2 linked regions of the Cricetulus griseus genome follow. The main gene of each other region encodes a partner of the protein of the gene in region 2 in a complex. Links are inferred from orthologs where the notes say so. Each region holds a gene or a part of one and is shown on either strand. Other genes may lie near its edges. The genes, in order: Eif3e and Eif3i.

Region 1 (7,602 bases), on a different chromosome or scaffold from region 2:
CTCAAGGCAGAGCTGACAGCCCTGCCATCCATCTCATCTGCGTGTGGTGAACACAACTAAGGATTGTGCGATACATAATTAAAAACTGACATGGATCTCATGTTTACTCTTCAGCTCAACTAGTATTCTAAACAATTTATATAAAGATTATTTCTAAGAATATAAACTGTTCACAACAAACAATTCATAGTGAGAACGGTACAGTGTAGGCTTTCCAGCCTAAGCCGGATAACACAGGGTGATCTAGGCAGCAGCTGGATGATAGAAAACCATAAGGCTTCCAGTTAAGTACAAGGGGCGCACAGAGTAAAATTTCTAGCAGTCTTGGGGTTCCAAAGAAACGCCAGGAAAAATGTGTAACAAAACAGCATACACACGAGTGACAGAAGGCCAAACTGCTCCCGTGCAGACCTCTGAAAGCCCTGGTTCTACAACTAAAAATGCATGTCACGCTGCAAGTGCCCCAGGACGAACAATGAAGACATAAAACACATCCTCCACCACTACAGGAACGTCTACGTTCTTTGACACTCATCTACTGTAAAGACAAAACTTTTCTACAGCTGAGCAGTATTAGATTAACAGATTTTTCTAAGAGTTCTTGCAGCTCAAAACATTTAATATCTGAAAACATCATACCAACCTGAATATGCCTGAACTCATCTACTGTTTTGAAGAAAAATAATTCACATCTACATATTCCTTAAATTGCTCATTTTTTTGTACTTTTAATCTGCTAAGGCTGGCACAAAAAAAGTTTAAACAACCTCAAGTAAATGCAACACGAGGACTAGAGGACCCCAGGCCTTTGGAATGCCTCTAGAAATTTAGTTTAAGATTCTTTACAGTCTAGCAGAAAAGAAAAGTGATCCAAGAAAAAGTACAATGTGTATCAGACAAATGGGAAAACTCTGTGCACAGGTCAGTCAGTGGTCAGGGCTTGCCTAACAATTACAAGGTCCTAGTTGGATCCCAGCAGTAGAAAAAAGCAAGCCAAGCAACCCACATAAAACCATAAACATTCAGAGACAGTCCTAGTCTGTTATTACCACCAGGCTACACATGAACACAGTAAACTCAATTCTAAGAAACAAAATAATAAACTCAAATAGCAATTTGTAAATGTAAAGAGCTAGAATTATTACAAATTCCTTGTCCATGATACCTCAGAAGCAAAATACAAAGAAGCCTTATGACATAAAATGTTCGGAATACATACATTCACTACAAAGATTTGTACTAAATTTGCTATAAACAAAGGAGCAGTTAAAGCAGTTCTAGTCAAACATACGTGCAAACAAAACAAATCAATCCCAAACACAAGACAACAAACACAGCCTATGAGGGAATGGAGAAAACTATGAATGGATACCAAAATACTAAGCATTTCTGTCTCACAGAGAAGCCCAAACTACAAATCTTCAAAACAATATAGTTCAGGTATCTACTGTCAGTCAGTCCGTAAGTGATGGGCCTGCCTTTTTAATCATACATCAATTGTATACTAAGACTAGGAAGAAAACCAATTTTAAAAAGCATGTCTGCAAACTACAACAAAGTCCTAATCCCAGTAAGAAAGGCCCAGTGATCACACTATACTACCAACTCTACACAACCACTTCAAGGACATCCCACTAAAATTAGGCAAGTATGGATAGATCTCCTACCAAAAACAAATGGCATTAAGAAACAAAATTTGGTTTACACAAAATTCCTCAGAGGCAAACATTAAAAGTACTAAGTTCTTATGTTTTATATTTGACTTCATCTCTGGCCAAAGTGCACTCATAATTTTAAAAGCCTAATATATGAAATTAGTTTCTAATAGGTCATGTTCATTTCACAATTTTCCCAATTATTTTCTCACACAACAGAGAAACTTTCAACTAAAATTCACCACAAGCTTTCCATGTTTCAACATTTTAGGATGTCACAGGAGCTTACTATATGAGAATTCAAATATGTAATTAAATAAACAAACTTAATTAACAGAAATTATTACCAAATGTAGTGGTCTTACAACAAAATTTCCCATTTACTAAGGGCTAACTCATCTGACCTACTGCTGAAAACCATCTTAAATATCCCCTCATCTCGGTACACTAGTCACTCTTTAAAAAGGTAACTCAAAGTTTACACCTTCAACTTGTCACTTGCAGAAATCATATTCTACCACACAAAGACTAAAGAGTTCTCAAAATTCAAACATTAAAAATTTCACGTTAGTAGCAAATTTTCTTTTTCTTCTAAAAGCAAAGATAAATAAAAATGGAATGAACTGAAATTTTGTTACATGTAACATTATAATAAATGGCGATTTCCAGAGACTATAAAGGTAGATAATATATATCCAATCTGAGTATTCTTACTTAATGCTGATACACTGGTGGATACGACAAAAAGTTTCAAATATGAAGAGACGGGCATTTTCAATGAAGTCCTCAAGACAAGCCACCAAGAAGAAGTCATTCACAAGCACCTATATACATAAAATATATTTAAAAATTAATGACACTGACAACTCTTTTTAAAAACTTGACTCACTTTGCCTACTTTACTGCTCTATTCACTATAATCTATCTAAAAAATCCTATAGCATAGCACTTTCCAGAATATTGCTCATGTTCAAGTCCTTAATTATTTAAACAAGTAGTTAAAGAATGATGGAAGAAAACCTCCAAGAAGCCTTAGTGGCTCCTTGATGATTTGAAATAACAGAGCAACTTCCTGTCATGCTTTGTTTTGTCCAACATGCTCTAGCTACTTAAAGGAAGGAACGGACTAAGGACATGAACTTTCTGCAACGCAAGACAAATAGAACAGTGCAAGGCATGGCTCCTATTTCAAAGACAGTAAGTAATAACTAAAAGTGATTATTTCAACAGCAATGTGTAACTTTCACATAGTTCTAAGCATACAAATTATCAAGCTAGATTTTAGTTTTCTATGTTGACTAATACTCAGAAACTACCACAATATATATTTACATTTTTCCTTAGAGAAACAAGATCCTAGTTAAATTGGATACTTTTCCCCAAAATTTGATTTTAAAAGATGAAACTAGATGAGCATGGTGTTGAACACCTACAAGCCCAGCACTCAACAAACTAAGGGACAAAGATCAAGGGCCTAAGGCCAGCTTAAGATAGATAGCAAACTGTGTATTCACCCAATCTCACTCAACCCTAAAATATGTTGTGAATATGAACTAATCACTTAAGTAACTAGATGTGGCAAAGTCCTGGAGATGGCTCAGCGGGTGAGGCACGGCATGTACGCCTAAGAGCCATGTTAGAACCCTGGAACCAGGCAATGCGGAAATGACAAAACAGACCCCACCCACCAAGTTGTCTTCTGTCTTCCCCATGCCTGCCCACAACATTACAAAGGGAAAGCTCTCAGAAAATGAAACAAAACACACACAAAACAGCAGCAGGGTGATGGTGCAGGCCTTTAATGCCAACACTTGGGAGGCAGAGGCAGGTGGATGGATCTCTGAGTCCCCTGACAGTTTGGTCTATGTATCAAGTTCCAGACTGTCTCTGAAATAACTTTATTGTCAACCAAAAACAATAGAAAAGATTAAGTATAAAATTCATAACTACAATGGTTGAGTATTTTAGGAAGTGTTCAATACAATCACTTAAAAATTCTAAAAGTAACTCCAAACATAAGAGTTAAAGCTGTGATACATATGGACTCGTGAACCAGATGAGAAAAACAAAGATTCACAGAGACCAAGATGCATTCAAAACAGCTGCTGCTTTAACTTTCCTAAGCAAAGGAGGCAATGCTAACTACACGACGTCCTTCTACCAATAATCTGCCATTTAGCTTCCTCCTATTTCAGCTACTTCATTATCACGTCTAGAAACTGAAGAATGTAAGCTGCTTAGTAAAATTCATACTTACGGATTCACATTCCCTCAGCTTTTTCTGAGCCCCATCAAAGTCAAAGTTAACATACAAGCATTCAACAAATTCTGTAATTGGGTCTTTGTATGTGTAAGACTCCTGCAAAATCAAGTCAAATGTCCAGTTAGGTCTCGCTGAGCACTGTTAAGCACACTGCCTATAAAGCACACCCATCTCCTAGTCCTCTTATCATGAATTCACAGCCAATAATCCAATGTCATCTTCTCAAAGTACCTGTAACACAGTAAATTTGTAGTATTGTCCAAATCAAAGTCTCTAAACTCTCACCTTAGAATTATTCCAACAGTTTTCAAATCTAATAGTCTCCTTTAGTCAATGAACAATGGAGAATTTTTCCAGCTATGAAGATATAATAACTCTGCTGTAACAATCACTGCTTTGTATCAATGCATTTTTAAGTTAAAGAGATTCCTTGGGCTGTGTGTGTTTGTTTTTCTGAGCAGTTCAATTTGAAATCAACCAGCAGTGGCTCTGTCCACCTGATGGACGGCTGCTCTATAGTCTATAAAAAGGTCCCCACTGTGCTGTGCAGTGACAACTCTCCCAGCCACCCCTGTGAGCTCCAGCAAGCTGAGTCTTAAGAAGGCACAATCACTCACTCATGTCACATATGTCATGTAAATACTGGGAATGTACAAAGTAAAGGCTCAGGGCTCGGCTCTCTTCTAACTTCCCTTCCACGCCACATGCTTTCACCTAAGACCCCAGAGTCTGACTTTAGAAGAGTACACTTGACGTTTTAGTGCTTCACGGTGCTGAGTTTTACCTGTTGAATAACTTTCACCAGATCTTTCAGAACTTGCCGGCGTTTCCGCACATCTTTGTTTGTTATGACAGCAGTGGTCAAATAGCGAAGAATATGTGGACACATTGTCTGGATTGCGTTAAGGTACCTAAGGTCCAAATACAACAGTTACTTGATAGTCACTAAACTCCCACAACTTTCAATGTATATAATTCAGTGTGAATTAAAGGAAACATCTGACTACATTGTTTAGCCAAATATTACAAACATTTAAGAATAACTATTACAAGGGAATAGACACGTATAAAATAAGCAGAATCCACTTAACAGGATGGGAATCTCATCACTATTGCCAAATGCCAGTGAGCTGGAAGCCTCACTGAAGAATCTAAGTATGTTGCTACTATTGCGGAACAGATACACTATTAGATACATTATCACTTTACTCCAATAGCTGGAAATAGTGATGACTTTCCCTCTGCATGGAACAAAAGAGTGAAACTTTGTATGTGCAAGTGGAGGAAACTGGGCTCTTACACAAATTAAATAATTTTGCTGATTCTAAGAGTAAAACAATGAGGACATTATTACATCCATTATGGCTTGGATTCCATCTGCAGCAGTGGCAATCATGGAAACCAGGAATAAATTGAGGTCTCAGTTTATGGGGTCTCAGCTCTGATTTACCAAATCCTGCTACTATTGACTGAAGACAACCCTCTAACTCACTGCATTTCTCCTGAACAATTTGCTTATACAGATCCAATGTGTGGTACCCGAATACTTTCCTCAGGCACGTATGATGCTGAGTTCAGAATTATCTGTCTGTAAGTTATTTCTCAAAGGTATACATTCAAGTTCTAAAGAATCGATCCAGGCCCCCTCTACATAGCTGACTCCATAGAAATTGTTCTAACTTCTCAGAAGATGAACTTCCAGGCAGCTTTTTAATATTTTAACTTCCATGCTCTCCTAGACTATGGCATGTGCACATACACACATACATCACTGCATTACAGATTCCTATCAACTCCTTCGGGACTTTAGAATTTAGTAACACCTGCCCTCTCCTAAATGCCCCAGATTAAGATGAGGTGAAACAACAGCACCCTAAGGAACCCAGCTTCTAGGCCGAGAACCCTATGTAGCAGCTGAGAACTGCATCTTCACAAGCCCGGCCCGGGGTCCAGCGGCCTGGTGCGATGCCCATGTCAAACAATAGTTTGTGCGACATTCTGTCTTGTATCAGGTTTGAAGTGGATCTCTTCAGTTAAGCATTTGTGGAAGATGCTAAAAATTTATCTAAAATTTATCAGATGAGGCTACACTGGTTTTCTTTTAATTTCTGTCACTACACAGTGTTTTCACATCCTGGTCAGCCACAACCTTGCGATAATGTGAATACAGGTATTCACAGAAACTGACAAGAAGAGTTGTGAAGAACCAGGAGTACACAGGTACTTACTTAAAGAGAAGTCAAATTTCTAGAACAGTTTACTGACAAAACACAAGATAGAGCATTTGAGAGTTCATGTTTTAAAAGTACAAATAATAAGACAAGTGGAATTCCTTCACTGGGGATAAGACTGGGTTCAAATTCAGAAGTGCTTATGAAAACTGACTGCAAATGAGCTGGGCATGACAGTGCACACCACTGGGCAGTGGGATGCACAGAACCAGGTGTTCAAGCTGCCCTTAGGCAATAAACAAGTTCTAGGGCAGGGTAAGCTCAACGAGACCATCTTGAAAAAAAAAAAAAAGAAAATTTTTTTTTTAATTTATCACACATTTAAAAATGTTTACTGGTTTATGCTGGCCTATGGTAAGATTTTCAAATATTTAATATTTAGTCATTTGGGGGAGAGTTTGCAATGTCAGGGTTCAAATGCAGGGTCTTACAAAAGCTATGCAAAGCCGTAGCTCTACCACTAAGCTACAACCCCAATTCTTCTGTGTAGTGTCTAAGAATACCTTTTCATTTCAGACACTTTAACCACTGGTATCAATTGACAAGCATATGGGAGCACTTTATTGCTGACATAATCAATTAAACTGTCTTGATTCCACTTCTTTGCATGCGACTACATTATCGATTCATCACTTCCAATTGAGTGGAGTGGAATGAAGTTAGAAATACGGGACTTTAGAATTTAGAAATATGTGCCTGCAATGAGGTCTGTGACGGTCTAGAACGGCAATGTGAGTCTGAAGGGGACTTGTGACTCTACATGAAAGCACTCTTTGACTTTGAAATCCCAGACTGAAAATGGGACTGCAGAAGTGAATCTCCACGTCATGCAGTGTGAGACGACAGGAGCCCAAGGGCAGCTATAGCTCAAGTGATACCAAGTGCCCAGAACCATCTCCTCAGCAGCCACTCTAGTTCCAAACAAGGTCACTTGTTCTGGGGTTTGTGTCTTTGGCTGCTAAAACAAAACAAACAAACAAAAAACAAAACAAAAAAAAACAACCCAATCCCTGCTGGTAAATGATTTTTCTAACTTGGCTAACGAAGCAACTAACTAATCAGAAAATTCATCCATGTACTTATATCCATACATGTATCCTTACATCTGGAAGAGTAAATTTGTGGTCTGCATCTGTGACTTGAAGGATAATCAAGTTTTAGGCAAACTTGCGGCCCATAGAGAATCTCAGTAACATAGTGAAAACTTTAAAAAGGCAAATAAAAAATAAAATGAAAACCAAACTTCTGGCCAACAAAAGAATGGTACAGTTCACAAATTCACAAAGCAATGCGTGCATTTCTTATTGACTCAAGATAAGCCAAAAGCTGGACAGGGCAAGTTGATACAAAAAGAACTCTTCCGGGGTGTAACACCCACCCCTCCTTCCTTCCTTTCCAGGAATTAGCAGAGGTCTTTCCTTATTCCTAACCCTTGAATATACAGTCACCCCTC
Region 2 (7,193 bases):
GCATGGCTCTTAGCCCCAGCAAAAACCATGACTTGATATAGAAACAAGCACACACATACTTATTTATAAATATATAGTCTAGAACTCAGCTTATTTTATTTTTGATCTGGCCACCCAGGCAGGGAAGACTCCAGTTGCCTGGGCCCACAGGGGAGGAGCCTGTATCCTGACACATGAGGCTGAAGATACAGTGCCTTGCTTGTGACTTTGCTGGATGGGTTCCAGCAGCTGAGATGGTAGATTGGATTCAGGTCACTGGTCAACTAAATCTAGCCCATCCCTTCTACCCAGAAACCATTTCCTGATGCCCACTGCTTCTCCCTGACCTGACTGGCCACACCTTCCGGCTAGGCTATGCCTACTTGACTTCCCATGCCCAGGAGCAGTTAAGTTTCCAGTTCCTATGGCTGGTGCAATTTAGGGAGGGGCTGCTATTGGCAATGCTTGAACATAACCTATTCCTGATTCTTTGGCATCTTCTTCTACAACAGTGAAGAGATGTCAGCATGAAGAGGGCCAGAGACAGGCAGAGACCCACTCTATGCTCACTTCTCCTTCCCAAGAGCTTCTTTCAGAAAACATGAGTGCCCTTCCCTGTGTCACGTGTCTCTTCAACTTCTGCAAACCCAGAAAGACGGTCTGCCACATATTCTACTCACAGACAAGAACAAGTGCACCTTAGAAATAAGGATTACATGCTGGGGATGTAGCTCATGGCTGAGGTGATCAGAATGACAATGGCCCCCATAGGCTCATGGGTTTGGATGCTTTATCACCAGGGAATGGCACCGTTTATAAAGATTAGGAGGTGTGACTGTGTTGGAGGAAGTGTCACTGGCTGTGAGCATTGAGAAAGGTCTTTCAAAAAGCTCATTCCAAGACCAATGGCTCTCTTCCTGCTGTCTGCTGACTCCCACCTCCCAACTCCTTCCCCAGCACCATGTCTGCTTGGCTGCCACCATGGTCCTAGCCATGACAATGGACTACACCTCTGAAACTGTAAGGAATTAAGGCTTTCTTTTCTAAGAACTACTGTGTTCATGTTCAGCACTACAAACCAAGCCAGGGCTGGAGGGCTTGCCTAGCACACACAAGCTCAGGCTCAATCCCCAGGACTATAATAAAGCCACTTTTAGCCATTTGTGGTGATGTACACTCCCACCACTTGGGGAGCAGAGGCACGCAGAGCTTGAGGCCAGCCTGTTCTACATAGTGACTTTCAAGACAGCTTGGGTTACATAGAGACCCCGTCTCAGAACAAACAAAGACCCAAAGAAATACATTTAGGGGTTGTGGACAGTCCAGTGTTAGAGTAGTTCCTGCTCTTGCCCAAGACCTGGGTTTGGTTTCTAGCATCCACAGTAACCCACAACTGTCTAACTCCAGTTCCAGAGGATCTGATATCCTCTTCTGGCCTTCATGGGCACCAGGCAAAAACACTACACATATATTTATAGTGTGTGGTGTGTATATAGGCACAGGTGTCATGGCACCCGAAGGTCAGCAGACAGCTCTCAGGTGCTGATTCTCTTCCACCTGGGTCCTAGGGATTAAACTGAGGTTACTGGTAGTTCTGAGTTGCCCAACGTGGGTGCTAGAACTGAGAGCCACCTTCAGTTCAACTACTCTTCAACTCCTTAGCCACATTGCTTTCTGTGGAGCCCCAGAGCCTGAGCCTATGGTGAGGTAAGCCCTAAGCATTCCCCTGGAGAATTCTCTCCCTGCTGGGCTTCCTTACCTTTCTGTTTCCTCAGCCCCTTTTCTGTGCTGGTCCAGTTGGCCCCGCTCACCCGAGCCATCAAATCCACAGAAAAGGAAGAGGGAAGGTTCTCAGACTATAGCATGCATCAGCCTGAGCCCTTTCTTAGGCAGCGGCTTCTTGACCGTGGTGGATGAAAAGTGCCAGCTACACAGGCTAGCCCAGAGCAATGCAGAGTCTGGGTGCAGAGAGAAAGCCTGCAGAACAAAGTATTCCTATTACTTTCAGCCAGCAGAGGGTCAGTGAAGCAGGAGAACCTGACAAGCTGTGCAAAATGGCTGACCAGAAACTATTTTTACCAAACTAATTTATTTCTAAAGAGTCTAAAACCCTCTTGAGCAGCCTCCCCGGTGGATGGAGATCCAGCTTCAGGCCTCAAACTCAAACTCAAAGTACTGCGGGTCGAAGTAATGGATGCGGACGTAACCATCTTCACCACCGCTGCTGTAGCTGTTAAGAGATGGGCAGTGATGATCAGATGCTGCTGAGAAGGGAAGTCTGGGCAGCCAGACAGAGCAAACAGGCAGAGACCCCCGGCCGCTGAGATCACTCCCTTCAATGGGGCCATACCTCTTGCCATCAGGATGAAAGGCAACACTGTTGATAGGTCCAAAGTGGCCCTTGACTCTTCCAAACTCCTCTTCAAAAGCCAGATGGAAGAACCTGGAAGAGAGGGTGGGTAGGAGAGCAGTTATTTAGTCTCCATCTCCTCAAACACACTTGAGGCAGCACTCTGAAAAAATGAAGACTGTTGAGGACAGTATTCTACGTAACAAAATTAATAAAGTAGAGAAATTAGGAGATGGAAAGAAATAATGAAGTTATAGGAAGACTGCCCAATTGTCTGCTTCAATATACAACAAACACCAGGCATGTACTGGGCAGTGCTCTAAAGTTTACTAAATATTAATCATTTACTTAATCTGCACACATTTCTGAGGAGAGTACACTATCTCTGGCCATTAAACAGTTGGAAATCACAGGCACAGAGAAAAAGACAGGCTCATCTAGGCCCTGAGTTCATGATCTCTGCTGTTGTTTAGAGATAGGGTCCTGTGTAGCCAAGTGAGCTAGGAGTTGGCTGAGGCCAAGGATGACTTTGAAACTCACGCTCTTCCATCTCTGGAGTGACTGGAACTGTGTTAGAGGCTTGGGGCCACGGCCCAATGGTAGTGCTAGGGACGCACCTGGTTTGCCAGCAGGGCACTTTAGCCAGACAGATGCCCAGCTGTCCTCATTTCCTGTATTAGACATCTGTCACAATCCTTATGTGGTTTCAATATGGAAGAGCTTGCTTCCCCTTTACCTGGCTTCAAACTTGCCAATCCTGGTGGAAGTTGTGGTCACATCCATGGCTTCCTGGCCACCTCCTAGCACCACCTAAAGAAAAGAAAGTTCAGAAAGATGGTGACGGCATATGCCTTTAATCCCAGCACTTGGGAGGCAGAGGCAGGAGGATCTCTGTGAGTTTGAGGCCAGCTACACAGGTTCCGAGAAAACCTGTCTTGAAAAACCAAAAAAGAAAAAAAAAGGGGGGGGGCAGAGAAGAAAAGGAAAGGAAAGGAAAGGAAAGTTCAGGTACAACCAGGACTTATTTACAGGTTTCTGTCCTTGGCTGAGGTCTCCCACCCACAGCAGGAGTATCCTCAAGAAAGGGATGAGTAGTCATGTCAGGTTTCCCCAGCTCACTTCCCTAAGCCCAATCAATCAGCACTGTAACAATCCTAGGTGCCCCTTCTCTGACACTATTCCCCAACAATTACAGCCCTAGCATTGGTCATATACTCAGACTCCAGAAGCAGGAAGCATGAGTGGGGTCTTCTTACATGGTCATAGTTGGGAGAGAGGGCAGCCGAGTTGACGGGACGTTCTGTTCGGAAAGTCTTCTGATGTTCAAGACTCGTGGAGTCAAAGAGCTGGAGAGAAGGGAGGAGGAGAATCTGGGTTGGGCAACTTTTTGGGCAGGTCAGACTGGTTGAATGTGCAGCAGAGGGGCAAACAAAGCTCCACCAGACCCATACCCAGGCTGACCTTAGCTGTGTTGTCCTTGGACGCGGTGACAAACATGGTCATGTCTCTAGATAGCTGGATGTCATTGATCTGCCGGGAGTGTTCCTTAACGCTCACCAACACCTCCCCAGACTGGAGGAGGAAGAAGAGACTTGCTGGAGTCCCAAGCCACTATTCCCCTAGAAACTTCAGACAAGCTAGACTTTTCATTTTATACCTTTCTTACCTCAATCTAACCCCATGCCAGCTTTATTTTTGGGATTGATCGACCCCAAATACCCCAAGTACTCAAACACTGAACAGTGTTGATGCATGACTTTAACCTCAGTATTCAGGAGGCAGGGGGATCTCTGTGAGTTCAAGGCCAGTTTGGTCTATACAGCAAGGTGCAGGACACTCAAGGCTACACAGAGAAACCCTGTCTCAAAAAAACAAAAAAATATGTGTATGGATATGTGTCCAAGGACATGTGTCAGTGTCCACAGGCCAGGCAACACTGAATCCCCCTAGAACTGGAGTCCCAGGCAACTGTGAACTGCCCGATGTAGTGCTAGGAACAGAACTCAGGTCCTTGGCAAAAGGAGCAAACATTCTTAACCACTGTGGCATCTCTCTCCACTAAACTTCTAAGGTTGGCCCTAAACTCACTCTGTAGCATAGGCACACCTGGAAATTTTTTTTTTTTTTTTTTTTTTTTGAGACAACATTTCACCTTTACCCGGCTGGCCTGGAACTGGCTACATAGACCTCAAACTCAGATCCACCTGCCATTGGCCCCCAAGTAATGGGATTAAAGGTGTGTCTCACCTCAGCTCCCCTCAAGTCTGGAATTTTTTTTTTTTTTTTTTTTGGTTTTTTGAGACAGGGTTTCTCTGTGTAGCTTTGGAGTCTGTCCTGGCACTCACTCTGGAGACCAGGCTGGCCTTGAACTCACAGAGATCCGCCTGCCTCTGCCTCCCGAGTGCTGGGATTTAAGGCGTGCACCACCAGCCTGGAACTTTTGATTCTCCTGTTTCACTGGTCCCAGCTCTCACCAGCTGTGTTATAGCTCTAGACCACCACACCTGTCTGTAAATATATTATTTTTCCCTTCCTTTTTATTACTATATCTCCAATTCCTTTTGTTTTGTTTTGTTTTTTGTTTTCAAGACAGGGTTTCTCTATCTAACAGCTCTGGTTGTCCTGGAACTGGCTCTGTAGACTAGGATGTCTCTGCCTCCACAGTGCACCGTGGCGATAATCATGACCGTCTAGGACTCCACATTCTCATGTATACCAACTACTTCAGCTCTATTCTGAGTGCTGGGATTAAAGGTGTTCACCACCAGTGCCGGATGTACTGGCTGTTTTTAAGCTGCTGTCTGATTCTCTAGTGACAGGAGATGCTTATTTGTGACCACTGTAACATAGCCTGAGTACTTCCCACACCTGATGTCATCTGGCAACACTTGGCCCCTTACCTTGGCGCTATACTGGTTGAGCTCACCACTCTCATGTCCTGCAATAATGCACTCCCCCAGGGGTCCCCAGACGGCACTGGTGATCTTGGAGTCATTGCAGGGGATCTTCATGTAGGGCTCATTGGTGTCTGTGTAGAGCAGCAGAGGTCAGGCCCTGGGATCTGAAGTCACACCACCCACCCCAGCGCCCCTAGTCCTAGCCCTCACCAATCTGGCTTGGATCCCGTAGATCGAAGAAGCTCACAGAACACTGGTACCCCATCTGCTTGTCTGTGGAGAGCATGATGATGTTACCCCCGAAGTCAAAGCCACAGGTTCGGACGGCTGAGTTGGTCTTCAGTAGGGCCAGCTGCTTCCCTGGGGAGAGGCGGGGTCTAGGTTACTCTGGTCTAATGTTATTGCACTCACCTACCGAGTCTCACAGCATTCCTGCCCTGAGGACGACAGGCTAAACTCCCTCCTACAGCATCTCCTCATGAACCAACCCTGAGAGTAACGTGTTCCCAGCTATGTCTCCCTCTCACACTGTTTCTCCTGCGTGTCCCAGCATAGAAGCAGACGTAATCACCCAGTAGCGAGAATAATATAATGGCCTCCCCTTGGCTGTCAGCTCTTCTACAGCTTGGACCTTGTTCAAACCCACCAGTCCACTATTCTTCCCTGTTCATCAGACTCCTCAGTGTGCCAAGTTTTTTTTTATTTTGTTGTTTTGAGACAGGGTTTCTCTGTGTAACTGTCCTGGCTGTCCTGTAACCCGCCTTGAACTCACAGAAATTCACCTGCCTCTGCCTCCTGAATGCTGGGATTAAAGGTGTGCGCCACCACCACTGCCGGGCAGTTTTGTATTTTAATTATTTTGTCGCCTGGGAATTTCACATATGTATATAATATACCCCGATTACTCTCCCTCTTGTCCCCATCACCACCACTATCAGTCCATTTCCCAGGTTCGTGACTTCTAGTTTTGTTTTGTGACCCCATTAGTTTAAGCAGGACCACCTGTATGACCATTGGAACCTGTTGAGATCAGGAGTGAAGGCAATGACTTCCCCGATCCCAGAATGTGAAATTAAGGTCTTCTCTTCCACACTCAAGGCTTTTCTGGCTCTAGCCTCCTGTTTCATCTACCCTACCCCCAAGCTACCTGAAACTTTCCATTCTCCTGCCTCAGCCTCCCAGTGCTGGGATAAGGTGTGTACCATCACACACGGCTCGTCCTAGCCTTTTATCGGACACTCCATGCTTTCATTCTTGCTTGTGACAAAGCACTTTGCTGTCAATGAAAGCCCCAGCTCCCACCTCCCAAGGCCACCCATTCCCCACTCAGGAGGTCCGCTGTCCCTCTGTGGCCTTCCTTGAACATAGCTCATTATCACTCCCAACCTTTATTTATTTTTCAAGTTGAATGGCTTATTATCTTAAACATGAAGCTTCTTTCCTCAGGTGACTTCCTGGCTGTTTTGTTTGAGGTCTCTGAATCTATAGACTGGAAACCATCTATCTCTAGTTCTCCAAAACATATTTAATTAGACAGGTACACTGAAGCTGGTCAATTCTTGTTGAAAAGTGGATAGCCCAGGCTTACCTGTTTCACAATCCCAGAGACGACAGCTGTTATCAGCTGAGCCAGTAAGGACATGCTTGGTGTCCCCTGAAGAAGGTGTTAAGAAACTTGGGCTCAAGAAATGGCACAGTGGGAGCCGGGCAGTGGTGGCGCACGCCTTTAATCCCAGCACTCAGGAGGCAGAGGCAGGTGGATCTCTGTGAGTTCGAGTCCAGCCTGGTCTACAAGAGCTAGTTCCAGGACAGCCTCCAAAGCCACAGGGAAACCTTGTCTCAAAAAACCAAAAAAAAAAAAAAAAAAAAAAAAGAAAAGAAAAGAAAAGAAAAGAAAAGAAATGGCATAGTGGTTAAGAGCACTGGCTATTCTCCCAGAGGTCCCAGGTTAGAGTCCCAACCCCCAT

The links.
Region 1: Eif3i (region 2) and Eif3e share a complex: the UniProt entries of both Homo sapiens proteins name them as parts of the eukaryotic translation initiation factor 3 (eIF-3) complex. The link is inferred for Cricetulus griseus from reciprocal best matches to the Homo sapiens genes EIF3I and EIF3E.

What each region holds. Positions count from the first base shown.
Region 1 is NC_048603.1:9,474,892-9,482,493, reverse strand, and holds part of Eif3e (eukaryotic translation initiation factor 3 subunit E), read right to left. Parts: intron 4,830-7,602; coding exon 4,703-4,829; intron 4,015-4,702; coding exon 3,913-4,014; intron 2,480-3,912; coding exon 2,370-2,479; intron 1-2,369. UniProt on the Homo sapiens protein: Component of the eukaryotic translation initiation factor 3 (eIF-3) complex, which is required for several steps in the initiation of protein synthesis.
Region 2 is NC_048595.1:23,438,900-23,446,092, reverse strand, and holds the end of Eif3i (eukaryotic translation initiation factor 3 subunit I), read right to left. Parts: intron 6,881-7,193; coding exon 6,815-6,880; intron 5,587-6,814; coding exon 5,437-5,586; intron 5,358-5,436; coding exon 5,230-5,357; intron 3,902-5,229; coding exon 3,791-3,901; intron 3,676-3,790; coding exon 3,586-3,675; intron 3,140-3,585; coding exon 3,066-3,139; intron 2,423-3,065; coding exon 2,330-2,422; intron 2,210-2,329; coding exon 2,128-2,209; 3' UTR 2,050-2,127; downstream 1-2,049. UniProt on the Homo sapiens protein: Component of the eukaryotic translation initiation factor 3 (eIF-3) complex, which is required for several steps in the initiation of protein synthesis.